Macaca mulatta: one gene and its partner. The main gene of each other region encodes a partner of the protein of the gene in region 2 in a complex. Links are inferred from orthologs where the notes say so. Each region holds a gene or a part of one and is shown on either strand. Other genes may lie near its edges. The genes, in order: PDCD10 and STRIP1.

The links.
Region 1: STRIP1 (region 2) and PDCD10 share a complex: the UniProt entries of both Homo sapiens proteins name them as parts of the core of STRIPAK complex. The link is inferred for Macaca mulatta from reciprocal best matches to the Homo sapiens genes STRIP1 and PDCD10.

Annotation. Positions count from the first base shown.
Region 1 is NC_133407.1:79,336,634-79,352,545, forward strand, and holds the start of PDCD10 (programmed cell death protein 10), read right to left. Parts: upstream 8,188-15,912; 5' UTR 8,158-8,187; intron 7,909-8,157; exon of another isoform or gene 7,811-7,908; intron 7,704-7,810; exon of another isoform or gene 7,619-7,703; intron 1-7,618. UniProt on the Homo sapiens protein: Promotes cell proliferation. Modulates apoptotic pathways. Increases mitogen-activated protein kinase activity and STK26 activity. Important for cell migration, and for normal structure and assembly of the Golgi complex.
Region 2 is NC_133406.1:130,139,711-130,153,641, forward strand, and holds the end of STRIP1 (striatin-interacting protein 1), read right to left. Parts: intron 13,835-13,931; coding exon 13,652-13,834; intron 13,284-13,651; coding exon 13,066-13,283; intron 12,065-13,065; coding exon 11,999-12,064; intron 11,890-11,998; coding exon 11,826-11,889; intron 9,925-11,825; coding exon 9,853-9,924; intron 9,372-9,852; coding exon 9,297-9,371; intron 9,142-9,296; coding exon 9,044-9,141; intron 7,781-9,043; coding exon 7,654-7,780; intron 7,437-7,653; coding exon 7,336-7,436; intron 6,562-7,335; coding exon 6,495-6,561; intron 5,950-6,494; coding exon 5,845-5,949; intron 5,223-5,844; coding exon 5,018-5,222; intron 3,253-5,017; coding exon 3,005-3,252; 3' UTR 2,268-3,004; downstream 1-2,267. UniProt on the Homo sapiens protein: Plays a role in the regulation of cell morphology and cytoskeletal organization. Required in the cortical actin filament dynamics and cell shape. Part of the striatin-interacting phosphatase and kinase (STRIPAK) complexes.

The DNA of each region.
Region 1 (15,912 bases), on a different chromosome or scaffold from region 2:
AATGCATATTAGACACTTAATACAGTAGCTAACACACAATAACCATTCTATTCATATTGTTATTAATATTTTAGCCAAAATTATAGGGACCTGACATGGAATCGACTACAACTAGGGTGAGGCAAACCAGATGCCTAGAACACAAAATTTTGCTCTGATTTGCACGACTTGGAGAGTTACTGCTTCTTCAAAGTTTGTACCCTAGGCACATTTCTTGCCTCACCCTAGTCCTTCCCCTGCATAACATACACAATAAGACTCAAACACTGATATCACAATGTCATAAAGGCCACCTACATAGCATATTTTCAAAATCTTTTTTCTCCCATTTGCCAAAATGGGTGCATAAAAAAACTTAGTTTTGGCTTACATAAAATAATTTGGTCATCGGGGCATTTTAAAACTATTTGCCAAGTCAATGTTAAAATTACTTTTTCTAAATGTACATAGGTAAACTTAACAAAGGAAACCATGGTCAAGAAGCAGGTTGGGTAGCAGGCTGGGTTGCAGACTGAAATCAAGATTTGATCAAAGCCCTTGAGATAATTCATAAAAGGTGATAATCTATACAAGATAATCAAAAGTTGACAACAAAATCAAAGAGCTCATTACCTCTGAATTAGCTGATGGGAAATGGAAACAATAACAAAATAGTAACAACTGGCTCCTTACGATACTTCAAAGCAACTTGTTCAGGAGGAAAAATATACATCTTTTTAGTTTTGACTATCCTCATTTTTTTTCCCTATGTCTAAATTTTTGGTAAATTCTGATCTGAGTAAAATTTAAATGAAAATACTTGTTGGGAGACAGGAAACAAATTTGTCGCCTTGAATATGTTTATCTTTTGCCCATAAAGTTCTCAATCTAGTGGTTCATGAATGATGCCTAGTTGAATAGTTGTTCGGTGTTTAATTGAGGTACATGTCTATTTTCCTTTCTGCTAATATTATTCCTTGTCTTAATTTCTCCAATATGATGTTAATTAAAGCTTTCCTTTAAAATCCCTTAGAAATCAAACTAAACTTAAATCCTCAGACTGTTCTTATGCCCTCTCTGCTTAAAGGTACAATTAAAGGAATCTGTACCACCCTGGGTCAGAGCTACTTGCTTTGTATCACTTATAATCTTAGATACCTAGAATTTAACTTAATGACTCCTAATGGCTTAAGATCTTCTAAAACATGCAACAGGTACTTTCATTACCTTTGCACCAAAAACACTGCTACAGGCCACTCAAATGTTGATAAAAAGTATTAGCCCCAGACAATAAATAGCCTCTGCCTTATTTAACATTAGGTGCTAATGAGGCCAAGATTCTACCTTGATGATGCCATTTAACTTTACCTTTAGCTCCCAATTGATCTCAAATATAAATACTATTGCTTACAAGAAGAAATTAGGGTCAGAATAGTATCTGTTTTTACTGCATTTACAGTTCCTCCTGTAACCTTCACTTTGCAAAAGTGTGATTTATTTTTTAAGGAAGCATACCAAAAATAAGGTAGAACCTTGGAAATCTCTCAAATTTTGACAGTATTGCATAAATGCCAATTTTAATATGGATAAAGACAAAGAGAAAGATGTGCATTTCTCAAGTAAAAAAAAAAAAAAAAACAAAAAAAACAAAAAAAAAAACCAAAGGATTCCAAACGCTTTGGAATTAAATGCAAAAAAAAAAAAAAAACAACAACAAAAAACCTTGCAACAATCTAAACTCGTATAGGGAGCAGTTGCTGTCTAGAGGCCAGGTCTGATTCATTTAACATTCCCAACAGGCTTTTGTTGTAGTAACCTTATATAAGTCTGAGGAGGCAGCCAGTGTGTAACATCTTAGGGTTTTGTCATTCCATAACTTCAATCTCAGTTGAATTCCAGTCTATCTTGAAGTAAGAGAGAATGACTGAATAAGACAGGGAGACCCATTTCAGTGCCAGGGACCAGATGGCAGTTAGACACACTATCATTTATTTTTCTATCAGCTGTAATCTAAAATTATAAAATGAACTGATGCACATGGAAGTACTTACTATATTAGAAAGACTAAATGTCCATACAATGGTCTTTCAACCCTTTCCCCTTGTATCTACTAAAGTATAAACTCCCTAAAGAGAAATTGTATCCATTTCTCTATTTCCTAGTATCCAACACACTATTCTGCATAGTCAGTCTAAGTCAGCAACAGTGTTAGTTGGAGATATGGTGATGAAAAGCTGAATAGCACATACCCTTGAGGGTATGGAGTTTTGCAGGGAAGACAGACAGTAAAGAAACACAGTGACATGTCACACTGCCACTTGGCATTAACACTCCAGGGAGCATACCCGCTTCACACGATACTCCTACCCTATGCAAGTTCAACAGACATGGTGAACATTTGTTTGAAGAAAACAAACAAAAAATAACTTTATTAAAAATAACTACTGGAGTATATGGTAATTCCATTCCATATGCAAAAGTCCCAGAATGAGAGAGATAAGAAACATGGATCTGCCTCTCCCCCCACCAGACTGAGAGCCACAGTGAGCTCTCACAAAGAGCAGCTTGCCACACTGATTGTGACTCTTGTACTGTAATATATGTATTTCTTTTTTCAATATGGTCTCTGAATAACAAGTCAAACACTTCACCTGGTACTCAAAAGAAATCTACTCCAATGCTAGAAAAAAACTGGCTGTGTTGAAGTTGTGTGCTACAACGTGTACTTCCTAATAGGTTTTTCAAAAGTTTGAATATTAAGTAATTTCTGCCTGCCACGCTGACCTTAGCATTTAAGACTTAACTTCTCTGTAACTACAACTCTTAATGCTAATTTCTCTCCAACACAGTTCAATCACTAACATCATTTTTACTTTAATGATGAAAAACATGGTCTCTTGAGTCAGCCAGCCTGGATTCAAATCCGAATTCCAAGCATTTTTTCCTGCAACCTTAGGCAAGTTCCCTAACCTCTCTGTACTTTAACTTCCTCATTTAAAAATTGGAGGTAATAGTGCCTCTACCTCCAAGGGTTGTTGTAAGGATTATAAGAGATCTTGCAAAATGCTTAGCATGAGACCTGACAGTTACTTACTACTCAATAAAAGCTAGCTATTATACTAGGTTCCAGCTCATTCCAAAGAAGGTTTAAGGCAATTTCACAGGTAATATGCATTCAATAAGTAAATGAATCAAAAAGTCATTATTTAGACTAACCTCTGCTAAACTTATTCCCAAGGGACTGGCCTGACTATGTTAGTGACTACCACTTAACATGTTCCACTGCTGTTACCCAATAGTTCATAAGCTTGTTAATAAAATTCTTTTCTTTTTCTTTTAACCCTACAGGCAACCTTGATTCTGTCAACTGTATAAGAATGAAACTGAATAGTGTAAAATCACCTCTGGGTGATTTTAAAAATGGTTATACATAGCCAAAAACGTAAGGGTGAGCTTGAAAAATAAGTGTAATATAATACATTTAAGACACATTTAAATTTTGTAGCTTAAATGACAAAATTGAAATTTCCATCTTCATACAGACAAAAATGAACCACCAAACCACAATGTTTATCTTTCAGCACATAAATTATTTCTAATTGCTATAATAAATGTGCTTTAATTTTTGCATTGTGTTTGTGTGTGTGTGTCCCTAAAGCATAACCCTCTAACACCGCAGCTTACTAAAATATTTCAAATGCAATAACATAAATAACAACGACATTTAACTTCTAAACCACTTTTATAGTTTATATTATGGAAAAAAATTATTTATCGTGCAAGTGGCTTAAAATTCTTAGTAACCCCTACGATAATGACCTTAATCGTCCAACAACATATAAAAAGCAGTACTTCAGCTTCAACCTCCACATACTGGTTATGCTAGGTAAATATGAATATTTCATCCAAGATTCAAGTAACATCAACACTGACTTTCTAAAAAGTTTCGGATTTAGCAAAGACTTGTTTTTAATAATAAAATGGATAGTATTACTAAATTTTAAAGCCAAATATCAGCAATCTCTTTTTGACAATATCTTGTGGAAAAGTAAACTGGTAAATCCATGAAGGCATATAAGGCTATAATAACTCAGGACTATTGACCTTACTCTATGCCATACTGTGGTACAACAAATGACTGCGGAATTTGTTTTCAAGACCAAAACCTAACACGATTTATCACTAAAATTCAGTTTGCATGTTTTAAAAAATGATCTTTTTATGCTTAAGTCTCCAGGTTTAAAGCAAATAAGATTCACTTAAGTATTAGAAAAATTTTTAGGAATCCCAAAATATAAGTTCCTTTGAAACAAAAACTACTCAATTTTACAAAGCCACCTTGTCTAAATTAAGTGATATTAAAGGTATAATTCATAGGAAGATAGCAAAGTTAAAAAGCAAGAAACAAAACAAAAAAGCAAAGAAAAAGGAAGAATTATGGATTTTAGAATATGGAGACAGATCTGGATTCTAACCATGGTTCCAGTACCTACATTTTGGAAACTCTAGCAATTTAAACTTTTTTTAGTTTAATAAGTAAATTTACTTATTTTCTTGATGTCTTCAGCTATAAAACAGCGTTAATAATACTACCTAGAGGAAATAAAGGTTTTTAGGGCAAAATGAGGTAACATTAGGGAAGAAGAGTCCATTAGAAGTTTCTTCCATGTCTGTATTTTGTCATAATGAACATCGCTTTCAAAAAGCAGGACAGTGATCTCTAAAATGCTGCGTTACACAGCAATTTTGCTGTAAATGAAAGTGATTCCTTTGTCATTTCCATCTAGAAAATTAAACCTGATTTCAGAGACCTCCAAAAAGAACAAACATTTTTCTACAATTTATATTAAAATTCTGTCAATGACTCCTTTGCATATAACCTAAATTGCCTAAGCATTACGGCTCATTTGAAAGTTCTTATATACTTCAATCCAGAAAGCATATCTGCTTTATTCATTTCTCTATTTCTGTCCCCAGAGAAGTACCGGAAGCATTGTGCATGAATACACTCCTTCATTCATTCAGCAAATATTTACTGAACCCTTATATTGTGCCAGGTACTACGTAAGTAGTGGGGTAGGGTAACACATGACAAATGAGAGGGCCCTGCTCAGGAAGCTCATAGTCCAGTGAGGAGACAATATTTGTCAAATAAATACAGAAATAATTAAGTTTCTATTATCATAATGCCACAAAGGAGTATAGAGTATGGTGAATACATGGCGGGAACCTATTCTGGTTTTGGGAAGGAGGGCAAGGCTCCCCCGAGAAAGAATATTTAAATTGAGATATGAAAACTGACTATCAGGTAGCCACATTTAGGTAGGCCAAGGAGTGAGATGGAATATGCAATGGCCACCAAGTCAGGAAGGAGCTTATGTATGTAGTAACCAAAAGGCATGGTAAATGAGAAAGGCTGGGGATAAGGACGGAGAGTTGGATAGGAGAAGAGATAAATTTTTAGTGTTAAACAGAGTAAGAAAGTAATAGTATTTGAATATTTAAGTCACATTGTCTTGTTCTCATGTAAATCTAAGGGAACTAAGTCTTTACTCCACAATATTAAAGATCTGTAGTCAGAAGATCTCGATTTTTATCTTACTCCCACCAGTTACAAGTCACTTAACCAACCTGAGCTTCTTCATTCTCTTCGTAAATATTACCTTACCTACTGAGACTACAATAATAAACAGCCCCTATTCTTACAGACCTTACATCCTTAAGAGAAAGAGACAGATGTATAATATATGGAAGACATCCCAAGTCCTATAAGAAATTACATCCAAAAGCCGATGGCTCCTGCAAAGCCCAGCATGAGAATAAATGAAGACACTGGTGAGCTGCAAACTACATGTATACACATAACTCCGTGAACTCTTAACTATCCAACGTGCAGAGATCTAAAGTGACAACAATACTGCAGCATGTGATTGAAAGATGATTAAAAACAATACAAACATTAATCCACCATCCCAATAGAAGAAATATCAAAACTATAATTGGCCTCAGACATAGAGTAGTGGCAGAAATGAACCAAGAACAAAATCTAAAATACACTGAACAAATGCATTATATTATTTCCAAAATTTCCTCATAGTTCAAAACCTCTTTCGATAATGACAGAGTTATGTGCCAAAGGTTAGAATTTATTTCACACCTCCTTCAACAAAAGGCAAATACTTACATTGTCATCTAGAAAATACATTAATATTCTTCCTTTACCATCACTGACTCATGTTCAGTTTATGGTCTATTTACACCACCGCACCCTTCTTAATCCAGCACAAAGTCAGTTATCCTCACATAATTTTCCATTTGTTTAACTGGGTCTTCCTTGTCTGTGTACTACATTACTCATGGTACATTATTCCTGATTTTACTTCATTCTATAGTAGCATACTTTTTCTATTTTAAAAATCGTATTAATTTCCAGACCATCTTAATTTCAACCATCAGGTAAGAGAATACCTCTACTCCAAAAAAAAATTTTTGCATTAAAAAGTTACTATATTGTTGATAATATAGTAACTGCAGAGTACATTCAAAATTCAGCATAGTCTGATGATCAACTTATACACAATACAGTAAGCTATGATTTATTACATGTTAAGAGTAAGCCATGATTTATTACATGCTAACCTTTATGGATATAAAGTTATCACAAAGAAATTCTGGCATCAATGAACATACTCTTACAATTCTATTAAAAACCTATCCAATAATAATAGTCATGAGCTATAACTGGTCATAATAGAGGATAAAATTTGCATAAGGGCACTATTTTCTGCAAGAGATAAAATGTAAGTGTACTGTTTTTTCATTCTTTAATGTAAAGTAAGAATGAATTGAAAGTCACAGATGATTCTAAGAAAAATAAAAATATGTAACAGCCTAATTCTATTATTTGCAGACACACACACAAATACAGCCTAAAGTCAAGAAAATGGGGGAGAAGTAAAATCTCAAACAAAAAAGACGATGTTACCTCCAAGAAATGCAAAGTACTTTCTTTTCTAGTAACGGGCACACTAAACTCTCCTAACATTATTTGAAAAAAGTTTAAAGTTTTGTGAAAGAATTCCAATCCAACTAGTATCAGTTTTACAAAATGAGAGTAAAAACAGTCCTAAAGTAGAAAAAGAAAAGAATGTTCTTCTAAGGATGGATATTAACTGTTGTTCTCCCATCCTATTACCTACCCTTAAAAATGAACTGAGAGAGTAGAGTCTATCATTTAATACATCCCTAAAAAAGAGGGGGAAATCTGTAAAAGTTAACACTGATCCTTTTTTTCCCAAAAGGTTCTTTCCTTTATTGAGGAATTTCACTCCAGTTCAAGAAACAACTTTTCATCTCACAATGGCTTCTTAGATGTACTACATAAAATACATTTACTTTGCAACTTCCTCCACTCTTTTCAAAAAGCACAACCAACGTCCCTACTCCAGAAGCTGAACTCGAACAGGACTAGATTCAGAAAGTCTGTCCCTACGTGTGTGACCTTGGGCACGTCATATAATCCCTCGGTTTCCTCATCAGCATCCCAAAATGAAAGCGCTCTGAAAGCAGTAAAGGAGTAAAAACATACTTGGGTATGACACCTACGAGGGTCAAGCCTTTCTGTTTAAGGCAAAATTACCTCCTTAGAGAGCCACATCATTAAACTGGAACTGAATCCGTAGACCTCAACATTTGTCTCTTCCTTCTTCCAGTGCTCCCCTTCCCTCAAAGGGCATAACCCGAGTCACCCCCGACAGCAGACTGCCCAGCACCCTTTCCTTCCTCCTCCCTTTCTCTTATTTACAAAGCAGGGGGAAAAGAGCAGCCTCACCTCTCCGTGCGAAGCCACACCTTCAAAGGACCCCACCCCAGGAACATCCGCCCTCTCCCCTCTCCCGGGGCACCAGGGGCCAACCTCGCCCTTCCCCTCCCGCCCCCACCTAGAGGAGACTTCCTGGAGGCGTTCGGGCCCAAGCCGGCAGGCGGCATTTACAAACCCGCTTTACGCCACTCGCGTAGGGTAACCTCGCTTACGCCCGTAGGGCCCCGCTCTCAGCCCCGTCCGCTCCGCCTGCCAGAATCAAGCCCGAGTGCCTCAGCCATGGCCCCTGCGTGACCCTAGACCTCTTCTGCTCGGTGCAGAGCTATGGGGACTGGGACAGAACAGCTACACCTTACCAGCAACTGAGGCACTGACTTCACTTCCCACCTTTGCAGCCCTCTTCAACTCCCGGATCAATTCACTCCGGCGACGCCGGAAGGACCCGAGAGGAACCAGGCGTTGTCCGGAATCCTGCCCAGCCGGAGTCGCGCAGAGGCCTATGGGGACTCGTAGTCCCGCTCGCCAACGTTGCCCGGAATTCCTGCACTCGGAAGACTACACTTCCCGGCAGGCCGTGCGGGAGATCCTGAGGCGATGGGTGGGGACACTTCTAGCCAATACTAGGAGAGTTCCCTGCCTTTGCGGGAGGAGGTGAGATGAAGAGAGATGGTGCACGGAAGGGAGAGGAAGGGCGGGGCAAGCCCTCACCTGCGCCAATCAGGGTGCCGGGTAGGCCCCGCAGGCGCCTCACCCATTGAGGGGGCGGGCTGACAGAGCAGAGGAAGGAAGGGGGTGAGGGGCCCGTGGTGGGGATCGTGGGGTTGTCGGGCTGAGTATGCCGTACGGGTGGAGAGGAAGCCTCGGGGAAATCACCCGGGTGAAGGGAGGGCTTGGTGTGGGGACTTGCACAGGGCGGAGGAGCAGCTAAGCCCCGGGCACATCGGGCAACCAGACCCACGCGTCGGGGAGAGATAGGCTGAGCCGGGGCTCCCAGCAGAGACGCCTGGGTGGGGCAGGAGACCGCTCCAGGTGTGAGCCACAGAGGAGGGGAGAGGGACCCCCAGGGGAGGGGAAGTGGCAGAGCAGCTGCAGAAGTGCGGGGAGCGGGAAGGTACACGGGCAGCTGCTTTCCGCTGCCTCCGGCCCGGGCAGCTGCAAAAACAGCAGGGGGAGGAGCAACAGCTGCCAAATTCGCCAACTAGAGGAGGGAGAGGCGGAGCTTGGGTCCCTGTAGAAGCCAGAGGCGCAGTCTGGACTGTAGTTTCCCGGGAGAGACGAAAGCAGGAACGAGAGCGGAGCGGAGCACAGTCCTCCGAGCACCAGCTCCAGCATCCCGTCAGGGGTTGCAGGTGTGTGGGAGGTAAGCGTGGGTCCTTCTTCGGGGCGTCTGCACTGCCCTGGAGAAAACGTGTTCCAATAGGAATTACATCAAGATACAGCTAAAAGAGCCCGCCTTGGGTTAGGAAACCGGTGTAAACCCTCTCGGGTGAAAGATTTACATTTTTGGACTGTAAGGGCAAAAAAGCAAAAAGAAGCTTGACTCTGGGTATAAAGGGCGTGGTTAGTGTTTTTGGTTTGAGTTACACCAGTAAAACTGTTCTGGGGGGATCTCAAGATTGAGAAAAACCCTGCTAATTGAGGACGAGGTGGATGTTATCTGGTGGATGTTATAGGTGCGTAGCGTATGAAAAGCAAAAATTTTGCTATTGATATAGAATGACTTCTGAACTATTTCACTAGGAAGATAACTTTGCGTTCTTCTTCAGTGTCTACCTTTATGTTGGTTTATCAGATTGTTCTGCTACCGACCTGTTATCCAGGGTGGTTATTCTGCAGTTTCATAGAATTGCAAGAAATCCGTATTAAAGAAGCAAATGCAGGCAGGAATAGTCAGGATAGGATGGGCTCTGACTTAATCTATCAAAAGTATAACTTTTGCCAGCAATAATGTAAAAATGAATTTTAATGAATGGATAGTTAGCTTTCTTTCCAGTGGCTCTGGAATATTGGAACAAAGACCTGGATTCAGCCTACAGTGGGAACATATGGTGTACCTCACTGCTGCTCCTTATTCTCTCATTTGTGTCCGATAATATGTGTACATTTTAAAATCAAGAGTACATGGAAAGCTGTGTGGGAATCTTTTCTCTGGGTAGAAAGTATGTGCTGAAGGACTATCCTTAATATGTGTTATGATGGTGGGTTCAGATTTAAAACACATGTAGTGTCACAAAATAATAGTTTATTCTCGGTATTAAACCATATGTGTATTCAAAGCAACGTAATTGTAATACCTATGGATGGAAATATGTTGTAATGCTGGGTAAAGATGAAAGTCTCACCTACCTTTGTGTAATTATGACAAAATTACAGCCTTTTATTTTTAGAGAAGTAGTAAGAAGCTATTTTCCTAGTTCATTTTCATTTTGTTACAGAGGTTCCCAGATTACATGGCTTTTAATCATAGTAGCATATTGCAGCAAATTTTGCTCTGAAATGCTTTCATTGTGACAGTTGTATATTTCAGAGTCTGTCTCAATACTTTAATCTATGTTTTTTTAATAACCAGGGTCAATAAAATGGAGTAATTGCCTTGTTTTCTCCTATTTCTGTGCTCTCCTGAGTTCTCGGGATTTTACATTTTATTTTTGTAATGCATGCCAGATTTCTCTTTGAAAAGAAATGGCTCAAATGAATTCTCTTCCCAGCTTAAAGTTCAGTCCTACTGCGTGCTACTACCGGTAAGCCTAAGTGACTTATCAGTGTATATACTCTTCCCTCCCACACTCTCACATACCATAGAAATATATAGACAGATAGCTCTTAGAAAAACAGCTGCTTTTTGATTATCCCTAAGCAGATCAGCTAAGTATCAAAAACAGCAAAGAGCTTAGAAGAAAGAAAAAGCAACAGTAGCTGCTAAACTTAAGCACTGTAAGGATCAGATTTTATCTTTGCTACAGCACTGGAGAATCTATTAATTCACATAGCTGATATGGCCCTGTGAAAATGATGTTGGGGTTAAAAAAAAAAAAAAGTGGGTATTAGGGTGACACTTGGAAAAGATTGTTTGCCCTTGTTATTTGTGATTAAGTGAATTGTCTTGAATCAGTCTTAGATCCTTTCTCAGACTCTACTACTAATTCGTTTTGTGAAACTGAATAATTGCTGTCTCTGGGTTATTTCCCCCATGTAATAATTATAATACTAGCAATGAAATTCTTTCCGAGCCTTTATTAAAATATCTGTTTGAAAGAGTTTTATTGGGAAACAGTTAATAAGCAAGCAAATGGATAGAAGATAAATATCTAAACAGTTGAAATTAAGATGTACTTTGAATCTCAGCTTTTGATAGGTCTTCTGCTCTGAGGCATGGTAAAGGCTAGAATCTCATTAGGAATGAATGAGTTTGTGGTATTAAAGTACTGATTTTTTTCACCTATTTCCAAGATTTGGATCCTTTTTACTGTGTCAGTAAAAGAGATTGGGTTTCAATATCATTTGAAAAAAGACCATATTTTTACATGAGAGAATATCATTGGCGGTATATGGCATTTATTTTTTACTTTGAACTCTTGATTCATGTTAGTTAATATTCACATTCAATCTCAGGTAATCTGAAGATTTTTCTTGATTGGTGTTGAAAACGTTCGTTTTATGGCAGTTTATAATTCTGTGTAAAATGCTACCTATGTTATAAGCATATTACTTATTCTGCTCTCTAATTTTACTATTGGTATATGGCTATCAGTGAATATATATGATGAGAAAGGAAAAGCAACAGAGTGCAGAATGTCTCTCTTGAATGGAAATTGCTCAGGGGATGATTGTTCTTTAGCCAAAAACCTTGGTTAATTTCCAATTACCATATCCTTTGGTCCTTTCTTTAGAATTCTGATTCTAAGCCTTTTGAGTAAAAATAAGTTAGTATGGATTTCTCTTTAACAGGAGGATTCACTGATGCATGCAGCACAAAAGAGCAAGACTTAAAGGTCCAAGATCAAATGGTTTTGGTAAAGAAGGAGACAGGGGAATAGATATAAAGAAAACACTTGAGAAACACACCTTTAGCAAAAGAGAAAAAAAATTTCTATTTTTTGTTAAGTTCCCATAATCCATGATTCCATGGCCTTTTCTCCCCCAGTCATTAATTTGTACAGGCCTGTATTCATACTGGAATACATTACTTTTCTAAGTAAAATTGAATATTCAAAATCTAATGAATACCAGTCTGATTCCAGTTAAAATGGCAGTTTTTACTGGAATACATTTTGGATGATTAACCTTCCTTTTTTATGCTTTTATAACCCATGAATATTCAAAATCTAATGAATACCAGTCTGATTCCAGTCAATGGCCATTTTAACTGGAATCAAACTGGTATTCATTAGATTTTGAATATTCATGGGTTATTAAAGCATAAAAATCCTCCCTGTGTACACTCACGTCTAAGTGAAACATTATTTGGACAAAATATCAAGAAGTAAATACCTAAAATGATGTTTTGCCCCTTTAAAGTAATAAAGGTACTTGAACCAGACACTAAGATGAGCAAGATACCATTTATTTAATTAAGCAAATTCCAAAGGTTAAACACTGCTTTTGGGATCAGAATTAACATACACAAATAAGGGAGAGTTTTTTTGTTGTTTCTTTTTTTTTTTAAATCTTCTAAGAATTTAGTCTTTAAAATTTGGAAACTGTGTTTTAAGTAACTACATTATTAACTCTTAGAGACCATGTACTTCTTTTCTATCTCCTTTTAGTCCTGAGCACCTTATGTCATATTCAGCGTAAAGAAACTGAGTAACCAATTACTGAATTAGAATCATTGGACATTGGACAATACTTCTATAATGCTCACATTAAGACAATTTGCCCTTTGATAGATAGAGTCAGCTGACCTCACAGAATGATTGCTTATACATTAGTCCTTCTGAGAATGTCTTTATGCTAGTTTGCCTTTGCGAAAGTGTTGATTGAGGACAATTGGATTCACACTGTGTGGGCTGCAAATACGTTACAAATTTAGGCGCCAGCGTTTCTAAATTCATCTCAGAAATAGGATATATAGGCAAGGGTAAAGGAATCTCCAAATGGTGGCACTTAAGGTCTGAATTTCACAGACAGGAAAATCCAGGGCACACCACCATTTAACCTCAAGGCCCTGGAGTTATACCTTTGTTGAAGCTTATCTGTAGAAACCATATTTCATTCTATAAAAACTTAATTTGCTCTTCTGTTTTTCTAATTATTTCTTCTAAAAAAAGAAAGAAGTAGACTGATTTTGTTTAAACATATGTAGAGTTGGTCATTAATTGTTTTTTGCATTTGACCTTCTCAAAACAAATTAATCTGATTGGTGTTAGAATTAAGAATCTAACGTAATTTTTCCTAAATTTTAAGACCTATACAATTCTCGTTAATTGTATATAGTTTTTTAGTAGTAAAATTAATTATAGCAAATATTTAACTACCTTCTGTTTACTTTTACCTTCATGTTGATGGATATAAATTGGCTTGCTTAGAACTGATAATTAACCTGCCTTTTTCTTTTTTTTTTTTTTTTTGAGACACAGTCTGACTCTGTCGCCCAGGCTGGAATGCAGTGTCCTGGTCTTAGTTCACTGTAACCTTGAACTCCTGGGCTCAAGCTCTCCTCACACCTCAGACTCTCCAGTAGCTAGAACTATAGGCAAGAACTACCATGCTCAGCTAATTTTAACTTTTTATAGAGATGAGGGTCTCACTGTGTTGCCCAGGTTGGTCTCAAACTCCTGACCTCAAACAATTCTCTTACCTTGGTCTCCCAAAGAATTGGGATTACAGGTGTGAACCACCATGCCCTGCTGATATTATTCTTAATGATTAGCACTGTGCCTTGTGTAGGGTAAACTTAGTTCATACCATCTTTCTCACCAGATACTTAGTATCTTTAGAGCTAACACCGAGTTTCATTGACCTTTGTATTCATTTTGAGAATTCTTTTACATAGTTCATACTTGGTAAGTAGTAACAATTTGGATAACTCTTTGGCAATCTATAATGAAACATCATTTTGCAAACAAATACAACTAGTAAAATAAATTTTTCTTAGATATCTGTGTTAGTCCTAAATTCAGCCCTCTGCCAACAATGGTTGCTTATATTACGGCTAAATATAAATATTGCTATCTTTTGTTGGATTTCTAAATAAGTAGAACAAATTTTGTTATTAACTGCAACCTTGTGTGTGTGTGTGTGTGTGTGTGTTTGCACGCATGGGCGCATGCTTCAGACATCAATTTATTCATTAGATGCTGTTTAGGGTTTGTGTGGTCCTTTTCTCTCCTTGCCTCTAGAACTCTGCTGATTTAAAGATGTGCTTTTCCTTACATAAAGGTATTTTATGTAATACCTCCCCTCCACTACACATCATTTCCATTACTTTTTTTCTTAACAAATAGAGAAAAATAAATAGATAAATGTAGTATGAGGCCTCATCTTAACTAAAGTTTAACTGGTCATAAATTCTATTTTCAGTGAAAAGGTTGCATTGAGAGGCCTTAGTAAAGCTTATATTGTACCTGAATTATATAGGTATTTGTCATATCTGAGCCATCATTGGAAACGAATGAGTTTTGAGACGTGGCATTGTCAGTGCTCAGTGTCGGCCTTCTGTATATAGCTTGGTGGCGAAAACTTACAGGGTGCCTTCAGTTTCAGCCACTGCTTGGAGGCCCCCTTCTGATTCTGCCTAGGAAGGGAGACTTCGGAGCTCCTCGCAGCTCTTACTTAATGTGGGAAGGAAAACAGATGAAATGTTTTTCATTTAATAACCTTATTTTGTCAAACTATATTGTTTTTCCCAGGTGTATCTCACAGCAGCGTTCCCAGTAAGAGTAGCTCAAATGTCACAGTGCTTTCTATAGCACAGCCAGGCAATTCAGTGAGTACCTATCAACTTGTAGTCCACTCCTAGCATCTTTGCTTTTCTTGAACAGACCCCAAAGAGGCCACCGAAACATTTCTGATATTTTACCCACATTGGATTGCTTCTGTCATTTTCTTGATAAACTAAATTTTGTTGCTTTGAGGTCATTTAACCAGATCTAACTTGAAGAGATGATTTTATTGTTTTTATATCTGTTAGTAGTATGCTAGAGATACCACATTGTGATGTATAATTTTTGCCTTTACTTGAATTAAATCAGTTATTGGAGCATTTAATTGTTGTGTACTTCACGAAGCAATTTAGAATCATTGAAGCAATTAGTGTTTTTGAGATATATTCATCCTTCCATTTAAGAAACCTGTACCTAGTCTCCTAAATTGCTTACAGATGTTAAATCCCTTATTCGATGTCTGTGGCAGGTTAAATAGTATCTTACATCTTATGTCCTTTGACATACAATACCAGATGAAATTATATAATACCAATAATGTCATAGCTATATAAAAATAGAATAATTTTTGGCTTTGGTAAATTAGGAAACTTTTTTAAAAATTATGAGATTTTGAGCGCAAGGTATATCAACTAAATCTAAGGCAACAAAGTTTTTGTATTTCAAAGTTTCTGAAATATTCTTTTAAAAATGCAAATAACTAGTTATCTAGATAAGAAGAAAAAGTCTTAAAATTTAAAAAATAAATAAGGAATAAAAATGAAAAATGCTAATAACTTTAAAGGTGTAAATAATAGCTATTTGTTAATATAATAGCAGATTTAATTAATAATTAGTAATATAAAATTGAACATTTTGAAAGGGAGAGAAAGAAATCTTATCCAGGATTATCTTAAAAGCAAATTTTTCCTCACATTGCGTGCCCCAAAAGTGATTAACAATTTAAAAAATAATTGTAAAGTACGTATCAACTAGAAACGCGTTCAGCTGCAAGTTTTATGCGCAATGAGATAAAACAATAGGGATTTATTTTTCCAGAACAAGAAGTCTGAGGAGAGTCGTTGTTTGCTTTTTGTTTACAGGCTCGATGTTGTCAGGGTTTTGTCTTTGTGATTTCTGTTGTGCTTGCTGTAAGACAGATGCCTCTGTTGATCCAGTTTATCACACTCTCTTTCAAAGAAGGAAGAATGAGGAACAGTTGTTCCTGTTGAGTCTTTCTCTTTTAAT
Region 2 (13,931 bases):
TGAGGCTGACTGTGCTAAGTGCCGAATGAATGTAACAGCTATTCTCCTCTGAGAAGTCAGCTCATCCAGGACAGACAAGAAGCCAGCTTTCTGGGAAATGAGCCTAACAGGTCTGGATAGGGCAGCCAACACAAGAGTCCTCTGGGACCCAGAAGAGAAAGAAATTTAGGCTCAGGCTGAAAAGAAAAAAGACAGCAGCAACAGCCAAGTTACCCTGAGGAGGGCATATTCAAGGAACACCAGAGGCTAGCCCAAGGCTAAGCTTGGGTGGTCCAGTTAGGACCTAAAGCAATGGACATTTACCATGAATCTTTCATGCCAGGGATGATGCTAGAGCAAATAGAAGTATTGGCTGTGGTAAATAAATGAGCAAATGAATGCACTGGTGGTAAGTACTGGTGGTAAGTGCTGGGGTATGACAATGACTAATAGCAAAGGGTGTGAGGAAGTGAAAAAAATGCATGTGCTGACAGAGGCCTGGATTTGAATCCTGGCTCTTGCCTTTATATGACTTTGGGCAAGTTCTTTATCCTTTCTGTGCCACAGTTTTCTCCTGTGCAAAATAGGGATTAAAATGGCATGTATCTTTCAAGATATTACAAGGAATATATAAGATATTATACATCAAGTGGTTAGAATGCTGGCTGGCACATAGTAAGTACTCAGTATTTACTGGCTTTGTAGAAAATAAGGCTTTGAGAAGCATCTAATATTGTGCCTGGTACCTACTTGGCAACCCATAAGTGGTAACTCTTATGATTAATAAGGGACAGTTCCTATCCTTACAGTGATACTGCCTCAGGGTAGTCTGTCTCTCAGTGGATTGAAGAGTGGACCCTGAGTCTGCTTAGCAATAAACAATATTTTATGTAATTCAATCATTTACAAAGGGTCTTCATGTACTCTGCCTACTTCATGACCCAGATGAGATTTAAAAAGCCACAAAAACTGGGTGGCTCCAAAAGACATTTCTGTACAAAGTCCTGAGTTCAAATGGCCAACCTGCCACTAACATGCTCTGTGACTGTGAGAAGCCCCTTCCTCTCTCTGGGCTGGCTCCTGGGCCTACAGCTGAAGGGATTCACCTGCCCAGGCTTCACGGCCCTTGCAGTTTTGATAGTCCTGCATTCTGTTTTGCAGGTCAGAGGAGAGACAGGCCTTGACCATGCAGGTTCAGTGACTCAGGCTTCATGGGACAGTACCAATGTGAAAAATCCATCTCTCCCTAATTGAAATCTCAAGATACATATTTCCTACCAGTCCTGGCAAGAAATAGCAGAAAATCCATCATCCACACATAAACTGTCAATTCCCTTGTCCTGTACAAGTTACTTTGGGGCAAAGGGCCCATCAGTCACAGATGGGACTTCCCATCTCACAGACTGTGTGACCACCAGGAGTACACTGCTGCCTTCCACCCCTGCTGTCCCTAACCATGCTGGCACATCAAAAGGCCTGTCTGAGGCTCAGCAGGTCCCAGGTCAGGCAGGCACTGAACACAAGACCCAACGAAGGGGAGATTCTCCCCAGAACATGTTTCCTTTACAAGTCAAGACCCTTCAAGACTTAAGAACCTATAAAACAACTGCGTACAGGTAAAATAAGAGCTTCCAGGAATTCTAAAAAGGGAACACTCCTTTTACCAGCATCAAAACGGTAATATCTTCTCAGGCAGACGCAACCAGGGGTCTGGAGGCCAGAGTGTAGGCGCCAGGTGTCCACTGACACCCACTTCAAAGATTTTCCTTGCTTTTTTCTCAGCCACAGGGGGCTCCTAGCTCCTGGCAACATTGTTTCCCACCATGAACCTGACTCCTGATAGTCTGCTTCCTACGCTCTGAGTACTGAAGTTTCCGCTCAGTCCCAACCACCTGCCCCAGGGAGGACCTAGAGCAGCTGACCCCCTTGCTTTGACCTAGCCCCTCCCTCTCTAGCACTGACACTGGTTTGGCTGAGGCCAGCTCAGTGATGTGATCCAGAGAAACCTGGGGCTCCTACTGAAATTACAGCAAACCCAGGGGTGCAGGACAATGTCTCAGTAAAGTAACCTTGATAGTGCCCTGGAGTTGGGTGAGAGTAATCCCAGATTACTGTGGGGTTAATTTACACTGGATAAATGCCAACTCCCTCTTCTCTTCCCCCAGGATGGGAAAGGCAGGCAGCTTGGCAAGACAAGCAGTGACCAGCAATGCTAGCAGAAAAAAACACTTTCTAGACCTGGAGGAGACATGTAGAGGCCATATTTCCCGTAGACAAGCCAACGGGAATGATTTTTGCTTATTTTTAATGTAAACAGAATACACAAACACATTAAAAACCCCAACATGACACAGGAGAATACACACAGAATTATATATAGGTATTTACAGGCCCTCCAAAGCCAAAAGGAAAAATGGCCCCTCTGGTTAAGGGAAGCTTCTCTTCCTACCTTGTCCCTGTCCAAAATCAAAGTGTGGAGGCAGCTGCAGGAGCCTCTGCAATTACTTCTGCATATAACATAGCAGGAGGCTGGAATAACAACAGAAACCCCCCACCCCCACCCCAGAGCACAACCAAGACACCGTTGTATTTTTTTTTGGCCCTGGCCCTAATCCTAAACTCTCCTCCTTTGCAAGCTGACAAAGCAAGGATTTGTGTGTCTCAGGAGGCATCAGCATGACCCCTGAAATTTAGATGTGCTGTGGAGGGGTTCCCATCCCATTCCAGCTTTCCCAGCCTTGGGCTGATTGTGAAATGAGCCAAAACCAACCATGTCCAAGAGAGGAGGGTGAGAGAAATAAAGGAAGAATGGATCCCAGGCAGAGATGACTGCTTCTGAGCTGGACCCTGGGAACCAATAGGAGGTAAAGCTGGGCTCATCCAAACCCAGGACAGACTGCAGAAGACACAGTGGGGCTGTGCTGCCACCTGGTGGGGAATGGGAGCGCTGCAGCCATGAACTAGGACAGTCCTGCAGGTACCTTGAGATCCTCCTTTCTCTGTTTCAGTCCCCTAACCAACAGCCTTACTGCAGCAGCTCTTCCCAGGAAATGGGCTTGGAGAAGACCTCCCTTTCTAACCAGAGGTCATAGTTCATCTGAAAGTCCTCAGGGAGGTCCACCCGTTGGCCCAGGACACTCTGCAGGCAGTTGTCCACTGGCAGGAAGTCGGGGTTGCTGTGGGCCCGGTCATAGCGCCGGGCGTTGAAGCGTTCAATGTTGGCACGGAGGGCACACTCCTCTGCCTGGAAGTCCCAAGGCCGGGCATCAAGATCTGAGACAAAGCAGGAAGAACACAGTTAGGAGCCACGCCCTGTAGCAGCTCCCCATGGACTCACTGCAGCTCAGGGGCCTGGCCAGGAATATTGAGTGTCAACTAGGAGCAGGATACCTCCGAGCTCTAGGAATTCCTTCCTAGATCCAAAGGAGAGTCAAGTACAAGCAGAAAAGACAGAAGTACCGACAAAGAGGCTTATACTGTAGAGATTATGTAGACCCAGAGAGGGAGAGCCATGTGTACAACACATTTCTCTCAAAGTGGCAACCTCCCTAGCTCTCTGGGGTCAGAGGGAGGAACCTGGAAATCCTCTCATTTGCTCATTCTCTCTCAACTCCCTGACCAGGTACCGTGTGCCACCGTGGGCCTGCACACATTCACAAGGCACTGAGAGTACAGACACAGTCATTTAGCCATGGTGGTATACTCCAGAAACGCAACAATGTGGCAACACACCCACACAGAGCAGCCCAGGCAGGCAGGGGAGACCCTGCGGGTGGAGGAAGAGCGTCTGCAGAGGCCTAGCAGTGGTAACCACACAGCTATGTTAGGGCACTAAGCACTCCTTGTGCCTGGAGCTCTGGGTATGATGGAGGCTGGACTGACAGCAGGTAACGAGGTTGAAAAGGAAGCTGGGTCAGATTACAGAGGAGGATAATGAAAAAGGACGAGGGAGCCTCATGCTTGAGTCTGAATCTAATTCTAAGGGAAACAGGAAGCTAATGAAGGATTTTACTCAGGGAGGTAACAGCACAGAAGCTGCATGTTGAAAAGATTCACTAGGGTGCCGGGCGCAGTGGCTCATGCCTGTAATCCCAACACTTTGGGAGGCCAAGGCAGGTGGATCCCTTGAACCCAGGAGTTCAAGAACCACCTGAGAAGGATAGGCACAGTGGCTCACGCCTGTGATCCCAGCACTTTGGGAGGCCGAGGCGGGTGGATCACTTGAGGCCAGGAACTCGAGACCAGCCTGGCTAACATGGTGAAACCCCATCTCTACAAAAAATACAAAAATTAGCTGGACATGGTGGAGTCCAGCTGTAGTCCCAGCTAGTTGGGAGGCTGAGGGGGGAGAATTGCTTAAACTTGGGGGGCGGAGGTTGCAGTGAGCTGAGACCGTGCCAGTGCAAACCAGCCTGGGTGACAGAATCTCTGTCTCAAAAAAAAAAAAAGAAACAAAAAAACACCCTAGGAAACATGGTGAAACCCTGTCTCTACAAAAAAGATACAATTAGGTGGGCACAGTGGAATGTGCCTGTGGTCCAGCTACTCGGGAGACTAAGGAGGCAGATGTTATGGTGAGCCAAGACCACACTCCAGCCTGGGCCAACACAGCCCCATCTTTGAAACAGGCCCCATCTTTGAAAAAAATTAAAGTAAAAAAGGATCACTAGGGAAATCTAAGACACTGATGGAGGGGAAGGAACTAGAGGCAGGGAAGCCAGTCAAGAGCTGTAAAAGTTTGGGTGGCCAAAATGGGGATGAAAAGAGGGGACATAGTGTTATGACAATTTCTAGAAAAGGAATGACTTGGAGGTACAGGGAGAGATGGGGATGATCGCAGATGCCAAGCCTGGGTAGCTTCTCAAAGTCCTTCCTAGAGTGCCCATCCTGATGCTACAAAAGCAGAAGCTGGGCTCCTTTCTGTTCCTTGGTGGGAAGCTCAGGGCAGAGAAGCACCTGAGCACCACGGGCAGGGAGTGGAAGATGTCACCTTGCCCGACACACTCCCACCCAAATGTGACTGAGTGCAGAGCCTCACCGTTGCCGTATGCCCAGTCGTCATTGAGCCGATGCCGCACCTTCTGGTAGATGGCAGACATGGTCTTCATGTTGCTCTTTCGCCACTGCCGCCCCAAGTATTTGGTCTGTACCTTGAGCAGCTTCAGCACGTAGAGCTGCATCATGGCTTGTTTCACCTTTAGGGCCCGCTTCAAGATGGGGGCTGACTTGAACACCACCAGCATCTGGGAAGGCAAACAAGCAAGCAGCCCAAGCTGAAGACAGAAATAAATGCATACAGCCCTGGTCACGCTGCTGCTTAACCCTTTGGAAGTTAAGGTGACAAACCTTCCCAGTTTCCCTTGGACTGAAGCGTTTCCTAATACATTGGACTTCAAATGCTAAAACCAGTAGAGTTCCAGGCAAACCAGGATGGTTGGTCACCCTAAGGGTCACTTTGGAATCTGAAGAAAGCTATGGATTCTTTCCAGAAACATTCCTGTGTACATGTACACATAAGTTACCAGAGGATTCAAGGACCTCCCCACCCCAAAGGCATCCACAGACCCAGAGTTAAGGAAGATTCTCAGAACCCTGGTTATGTAACCAATCAAGATTAAGATGACATGGAAAAAGCTCTTCTATAAGTGTAGATTTGTTTTAGTGCATGACTGGGCCTCTTCCAGCTTCCAGTTCAACTCATCAAACTCATCAAGGAACTGGGAACTGGCCCATAAAATGCAAGGATATGGCTACAGCAAAGTTAAGTGAGAAGGCACAGTGAGCCCCACCCTAGGGACTCCCTGCTCCCAGCACTCTTCTTTGAGCTCCAAGTTCCAAGCCTGCTGAATGCACTGACTCACTTACCATTGTCCTTGAATGCTTCCACTTTGTCAGCTTGTTCAAGATCCGAAGCAGATTGATACAAGAAAAGAGGTTCCTCCAGCAAAACTGGTTACTGTCACCTGCTTCCTGCAGGGTAAACCCAGGAACAATCAGCCCTCACGGCTACAGTGTGTGCAGCAGTTTCCAAAAGTCCCTCACACATGATCTTAGAAGAGCCGGGTCTTCAGGCCTCTACCAGGAACCCCCTGCTCTCAGAGCAGCCCCAGGACTCCGTCCCAGAAACTGGCAGGGACTAGGGGAAGAGGGAGGCTCCCCAGACTTTTCCTGAAGGAAACATGAACCGTGATACTGGGAGCTGCAGCCTTGGGCTGCCCTAGGGCTCCTATTGCTGAGTCCAGTGTTGAGGGAGAGAAGCCCTCTACGAGGTGAGCTCTGGATCAGCAGCCCCTGAAGATCACACTCCCTGACAAATCCCTAAATCCAAATCTCTCTGCTCTGCAAGAGCCCTCCTCCTGGCCCTTTTGTACACTTACAGTGCTCTAAAAGCCGGGCACTCCACAGTGACTTCGCCTGTGGGAGACACCTCTATTCCTGTGGTGTTGGGGTAGGCAGGCTCTCTACTCACTAACCCGGGTGCCAAAGGGACAGCCGAGGAGAGCCCAGCCACTCACCAGACTCTCCGCAGTCAGCTCTGGCAGCTCATGCACCACGCAGTGAGGGTAATCCAGGACAGAAATGCTGCAGAGGGGAGAGGATCCAGGTGCCCACCATGAGCAAAGGCCCAGGGCCTAGTGGAGCAGCCATGCCTGAGCCAGTTCCCAGCCTTCCTCCCTCACTTGTTGGAGCAGAAGTAGGAATCTACCTGGTCTGTCCCACCCGTTTCCCCAGCTATAAGACGAGGAAATATCTGCTACAAGGGAACTTGTAAGGCACTCCTGTAGCCAGAGGCCAGCCGGTTGATCTTGTAAGGGGCAGAGACCCTCACAGCTTCCCCCATAGCCATCAGTGCGGGGCTGGGGAGGAGACTGCTCAGGGCAACTAATTGATGCCAAGCCTTTCTGGAGACAGGGTCTGGCCAGCGCCCTGTGGTATATCACACTGACGAGCAAGTAATGTCAACTATAGCTGGCACCAGGCCAACAGCAGGGGCTAAGAGTCAGCAGACAGGGCATTACAGGGCACATGGCCGAGCCCCTTAGAGAGAGCAAGCAGCCCATGGTCTCCTCAAAAAAAAAAAGTACAAAAGGGACAGGGAAGAAAGTACTAGATCCCGGGATGAAAACCCTCCTGCCCAGGTACAGGCCAAGGCACCTGGGGCGCGACTAGCTCGACTCAGATTTGACACACTGGGCTCTCCACAGGCAGGGGCCATGTCTCATTTATCTTTGTGTCCTGATGCCTTGCAGAGCGCTGGCTCGTAGATGCTGGAAAAATGGAGGCAGTGGGAAATACCAGCTGGGAACTCTGCTGTCTGACCATACCCGCCCCTTCACGGTCCCTGGCCCTCGTCACCTGTTCTTGGCGGTGATGTAGGACATGATGTTTTGATTGAAGAACTTTAGGATCAAAGGAATGCAGTTGGCAAACACCAGGTGCTGGGCCATGTATTCAAACTGAAGCCAACAGGGGAAGAAAAAAAAAAGGCGTGGCCCTTGGGACCTTGCCTTCTTTCCTCCAGGGATGAAAGGCCTTGGCTGGAGGGCCATGTCTTAGAACATTCATGCAGAGTTCAAGCGGGTCAAAGGCCAAGGCCCCCGTTCTTGTGGGCTGGAGGAGCAGTAGTGCCTGAGGCCCCAGACCACAGGACAGGAGGGAAAGCCCTGCGGGTACCTGGTAGACATGGTTCAACTTAAAGTGCTTGAGCAGCAGCAGCAGGACAGCAGAAATGGCCTTAACAATGACCTCTTTGTGGCGGTTTACGTCCACCCCCAGCTTCATGCTCTGCAACACTGTGGTGCTGGAAACATAATTGCCTGGGTAAGCCACCAGCATGTGCAGTACCTCCTTTCTAGGTGCCCACAGAAAAGATGGACTCCTGAGCCTCCCTGGGCAAAGACTCCCACCTCCCCACTCACCCCATGGACATCTCAGAAGTCAGCCCAGGGCTCCCCCATCCACCTCCCAAGCAATGTAGCCTGGCACAATTTATTCCTTCCCCATGATGCCCTCAAATACATTCTTAGTCTGCTTCTCTGCCTTTCCTCTAAAAATGAACTTCTTCTCCTTTCCAAGATCTCCCCTAAGCTCCCCTAAGCTGCCGTATTAACCTGAGTTCTCCAAAATGTGTTCTGTGGAATACCAGGATATTGGCAAATTTCATGTCATGGAAAAAAGGGTTTTGGAGTCAGATAAATTTAGGAAGCACTGAGTTACATCAGTTTCTTAATTCAGGACTTCTCACTGTACATCTTTATAAAAGGAATTCCTCCTTATAAGAGAAATCCATGAATCAAATATATAGTATGACTCTAGAACCTTTTTTTCAAGGATCATCACATGATGGCCTAGTGTTCTGTGATTCTCCCTCTGGTATTAGCCAATTCCTGCCTCCTCCTTCACCTGGCCATCACTGCCATACTTCAGGGCCACAGCCACCCAGGAGCTGGACTCAGGGCTGGCGGCCCAGGCAGGCAGGAGATCAGGTCAAGGTCCAGGTCCTTCTCAAAGTAGAACATGATCTCAATCTGTACTCTCACATGAAAAACGAGTACAGGGCCCAGCGCAGAAGAGCTCTGAAGAATCTCACTCTATCACCCTGAGCCATTTGCCAGCATTCTGCGCGTCCGCTTACTGGCGAAAAGGGACGTCTCTATACCTGGCACAGGTTCAGCTATTGCTGGCAAGCTGTCTACAAGCTAACCCTCCTTATCCTGGTGTCCCGATCACAGCTGGAGAGGGCGGCTTTGGAGAGGGCGGCTTCGGGGCAATGTCCAGGGTGGCCCCATTCATTTTACAGAGGAGGAAATTACTTTCCCCAATTCACTCAGGAGTTCGCTCAGTGGCAGAGTCTACACTAGAATCCAGGCCAACAGGACCAAGCCATCTCCCTAACCAGTGAAACTCTTTAATCTAGTAGTTTCCTTTTTTTTTGAGTCAAAAATACCTACATTTAACCTGTAGAGAAGCTGGGCCAATAACAACCAACCTGACAAGAGGAAAACGTTTGCCCTTCTCCATCTATCTTCTGCCCCACCTGCTCCATTCACAGAACGATACTCACGGCATCTCTTCAGGCAAGACATCCGCTAGGATGTTGATTGAGTCTGTTTTAGCTTTTGAGGTGGGTGCTGCAGCCAACAGGATCTTCAGGAGGGCAATCTGGGAAGAGTAGACCATTCAGACACAGGTCTGAGAGCCCAGGGCCAAAATTAAGCTCTGAGCAGTCCTTCTGTTGGTCCACAGGTGGCAGGAGGAGGGCAGGGCCCACTCTAAGGCCACTGTAGTGGGAGGGTCCCACTGTAAGCGCCACTCACCATATACTGAGGCAGGCTGGGGAGCAAGCCTTGGTAGAGGGTTTCTGCAGGGACTTGCTCAACTTCTTCTTCTCCCTTTTAACATAATGGGTACAAGCATAAAACCCCAGCCCAGAATACAATCTCCTGAGCCAGCTTGCTAGCTGGCTGGAGGAAAACCTGTAGACGGTGATGTACATAATGATGTTAATGATAACAGCAAACCCTGAACACAATGTGCCAAGCATTTTACTTGTAATAACTCAGTTCATTCTTATTATAATAACCCTATAAAGGTATTATTATTCCTATTTCACACACAAGGAAATAAAGCGTAGAGACACCCAGTAACTGGCTTAAGTTGTCATCCACAAAGTGGTAGATCCAGGCATAAGAGGCAGGTTCCTGACTCAGTCTGTATTCTTAACCCTGCACTAGACCTGTGTCACCCTCTGCACTGGGAGGTGGACTGGGAGTTCTTTGAGGGCAGGGCCTGGGGCAACCTTGTGGTCTAATCCCAGCACAATGCCTGGGAAGAGCTGGGGATCCTGGTGGCTGAAGAGGACCTCCAACTTACCCCTGAGAGAGGGGAGCGGAGGTACTCCTCCTCCATCTGCGCCTGGACCTCTGCAATCGACGTGTACTTGTGCTGGAGGGAGAGATGGGAAAAGAAGGGCTGGGGAGAACATTCTCTGGCCAAACTCCCTGCACTCTAGCAAAAGCCCCACACATTTGTCTTCAAACAGTCTTCTGAAAGAGGATAAGTCACCACAAAAATCCCTAACTAAAATCCCAAACCCAAACATTTTTCTTTTTCTTTTCTTTTTTTTTTTTTTTTTTTTGAGATAGAGTCTTCCTCTATTGCCCAGACTGGACTGCAGTGGCATGATCTTGGCTCACTGTAACCTCCGCCTCCCAGGTTCAAGCAATTCTCCTGCCCCAGCCTCCCAAATAGCTGGGACTACAGGCGTGCACCACCATGCCCGGCTAATTTTTGTATTTTTAGTAGAGATGGGGTTTTGCCATGTTGATGAGGCTGGTCTTGAACTCCTGACCTTAGGTGATCCACCCACCTTGGCCTCTCAAAGTGCTGGGATTGTAGGCATGAGCCACCATGCCTGGCCCCAAAATATTTTTCTAAATGGGCCCCTTCCTCTTGCAACTAGAGTAGGAAGCCCACAGTAGATTAAAAAAAAAGTAAATTAAAGGAGGGAAACAGGCTTTCAGATAGCTACAGTGACAGGAGGAAAAACTGAAAGCAAAATCAAATACTCAAAATGCCTAGCCTGCAGAGAGACCACTTAGTACTACCAATTCCAAAAATATATTTCAAAACATATCAACAGTTTCACTCCAGACAGCTGTTAGGGGAGATGCCTCTTCCCCACTCTTTTTTTTTTTTTTTTTTGAGACGGAGTCTTGCTCTGTTGCCCAGGCTGAAGTGCAGTGGCTAGATCTCGGCTCACTGCAAGCTCTGCCTCCCGGGTTTATGCCATTCTCCTGCCTCAGCCTCCCATGTAGCTGGGACTACAGGTGCCTTCCACCTTGCCCGGCTAGTTTTTTTGTATTTTTTAGGAGAGACGGGGTTTCACCGTGTTAGCCAGGATGGTCTCGATCTCCTGACCTCGTGATCTGCCGTCTCGGCCTCCCAAAGTGCTGGGATTACAGGCTTGAGGCACCACGCTCGACCTTCTTCCCCACTCTTAATGTTCTCTCCTATGTGGAGGAACAGAGGTTTGCCAAACACCCCTCATCTCTCTCTGCCCCATCCAGACACTCACTGCTCCCTTCTCTGATCAGAGAGTATGGGAGGGGACACAGGGCAGCCTTGGCTCCACCCTTCTCTTTTCCCTTTAGAACCTGTCTGCCTGCTGAGAGTCTGTGCTCTCTTCTCCTGCCCGCACTGCCTGGGACTGGTAGGTATCTCTGCCTAATTCTGAAACAATGTATTAGGACACTACTGCTGCGTTCTTAAGCCTCATTCTCCACAGCTCTATGAGCTATAAAGTTGGCATTACAATCTCCATCTGCCTACTCCTCTATTTCAACTGCCTGAGAACGTGGGCAAGGAAAAGGAGGGTTATTTATTGAGCTCTGTAGAATTCCAACAACTGTCAAGTAATATAATCCTTTTTTTTTTTTTTTTTTTAAAGAATCCAGGTCTCACTCTGTGGCCCAGGCTAGAGTGCAGGAGCATGATCATAGCTCACTGTAGCCTTGATCTCCTGTGCTCAAACAGTCCTCCTGCATCAGCCTCTTCAGTAGCTGGGACTACAGGCGTATGCCTTGGTGCCCAGTGGTCAGGTAATACAATCTTTAAAGACTTTCCAGTCAGTCCCAAACAAAAGCTCAGCTAAAACAAGTAAAACTTATAATAAAACAAGCAAAACTTATGAAAGACTGTTTGCAAGGTTATTCCAAAGTCCACCCTGGCCTCTATCCCAGGTTCTTGCAGGCAGACAACAGTCTTAAAAGGCTTCTCCCTACAGGCTGGTTTCACTTTACTCACTTCGGACCAAACAAGCCAAATGCTCACCCAAAGCCACTCACCTGTTTCAGAGTCTTGATGCTTTCGTGGATTGGCCTGGGCAGCCCCACCACTGTGTTCGTGTCACTGGAGAATAAAGAAGGCCCTGTGTTGAGCCTCGACATTAATTCACCTGGGATCCCAAACACCAAAGGCTGGGAGAGCTAACAGCAAAATGAACTTGGCTTCTACTCACCTGCCTAGTGTGTAACCTATAAATTTGCTGCGGCTGGACTCGAGGAACATCTCAATATCTTTCTCTCTGCCACATCCCCCCAAAAAAGAGAGAGAAAAAGGTTTTTAGCAAATGCTATTTCAAAGTGTTACAGTTAACAAAAACATAGAGCATCCAGAAACTGTGAAGCCAGGAGAAGAAAAAGTCTCCCACAACTGTTTTTCTCTTTCAAAAAAGGGAAAAAATAGAAATTTTCAGAGTATTTTAATGTTTCTTATAATTTTGCTGGATCAATAACCTGGAAATATATTACATGTTAACTAGTTTATTCATAAAATTAAAGAGATACATTAAACTTAAAAACATACTTTATTCACATAGTATGAACAAGTTTGTCAACAGACTTTCTTAAATACTAAAACTTTGTTAAACAATTAAAGCTACAGGCTACTGATTTTTCATGTAGGTCACATTTTCCTATCCCAAACAATCAGCATACCTTGCATTTTCTGATGATCTGTTTTGCATTCCCTTCACAGATCACTGAAAACTGAGGCTTTACCTGGATCAAGAAAGTGACTTCTATATCCTCTCACATGTTCATCTATTTCTTAAGTTGCTGCCTATCAAACAGACACCATTTATATATCTCCAGGTACCTTCCCATCCATCGATGTACCCACATATATCTCAAACATTTTCATTATGGCTCTAAAGAAACTCTTCCTTAATCTATCATTTTTCCCTTAAAAATCATATACAGCCCCGGGAGGGGTGGGGACATGTTTGCTTAAATGCTTTTGTTTTTATTTGTTTCCTATCCCCCTTCACTAGCACGTCTAACCAAGAGCTAACTCCAATTACTGACTCAGTAGCCACATGGGGGCCATGTTGTGTGAGACCAGCAAGGCTAGCCTCCCTGAGACCCTCAGGACAGCACCAGGCGCTTTAAGAGAGCCTCATCCCAGAGCCACGGTCAGCCTGCCCTGCAGAGGACCACACACGGTGACGCAGGCCAGGCGGCAGGCCTGAGGGTGTGAGGGCTCTGGCCTCAGGAGCTATGAGTGCTCTGGAGGTCTGAGACTCACCTGACCTTGGGAGCCCAGGGGAGCCCTTTGGGGCAGGTCAGCCTGTCAGTCTGTGGGTGCTGTAGTGGGGGAGGCATCACTTCATCTCGTTCCAGGGGGAACGTCTCCCCCTCCAGACTGTTGTCATCATCATTCTCCTCTTCCTCTTCTCGAGAGTCATCAGCCTTGTAGGGATCCCGCTCGTTGAAGGCATCTAGGTTGTCCTGCTTTATCAGAGCCTGAAACCAGGGAAGCGAGATGAGACAAGAGCCAATTGAGGATGCAGACTAGGGAAGTGCGGCTGGAGGAGACACAGCGCACAGGGGTGTCAGGTAGAGGCAGGAACAGTGGAAAAACCAGAGGGGGAGTCAAGACGGGGGCCAAACCATCAAGTACTTCTTGCTCCAGTCCCTCAAAAGCACCACGTGCTGAGCACCCACCATAAACTGGACCAGAGCTGGGGACAAAGTGTCCTTGCCGTGGAGGCATGATTCTGACTGGTTGATCAGAGATCATTTCCAGCAGCCCTGCTCCTCCAAGGACTGTGCTGCTGCAAGCATACACCTTGAGGGCCCTCAGGAGTCACAGGGACCTCTGTCACCCTCACCTTGTGCTCTCGGCGGCCCCGTTTCTGCTGCTGCTCAATCAAGTCTGAAGCAGATGCTGGTGGAGAGGCTGCCCTCATGTTGCGAATCACTTTGATGCTGTCCTCAGGAAGTGGGGGGAGGCCCAGGATGCTGCGCTTCTCAGCCTTCATGCTCTGCAGCTCCTCAAAGCCGCCCAGCGTGCACTGCATTACAGACAGGGAAGCAGAGCCAGAGTCAACGTGTCCACAGGGCTGGTCCCTGACCATTGTGTTGGGCTCAGAAGCACCCATCACATCATGA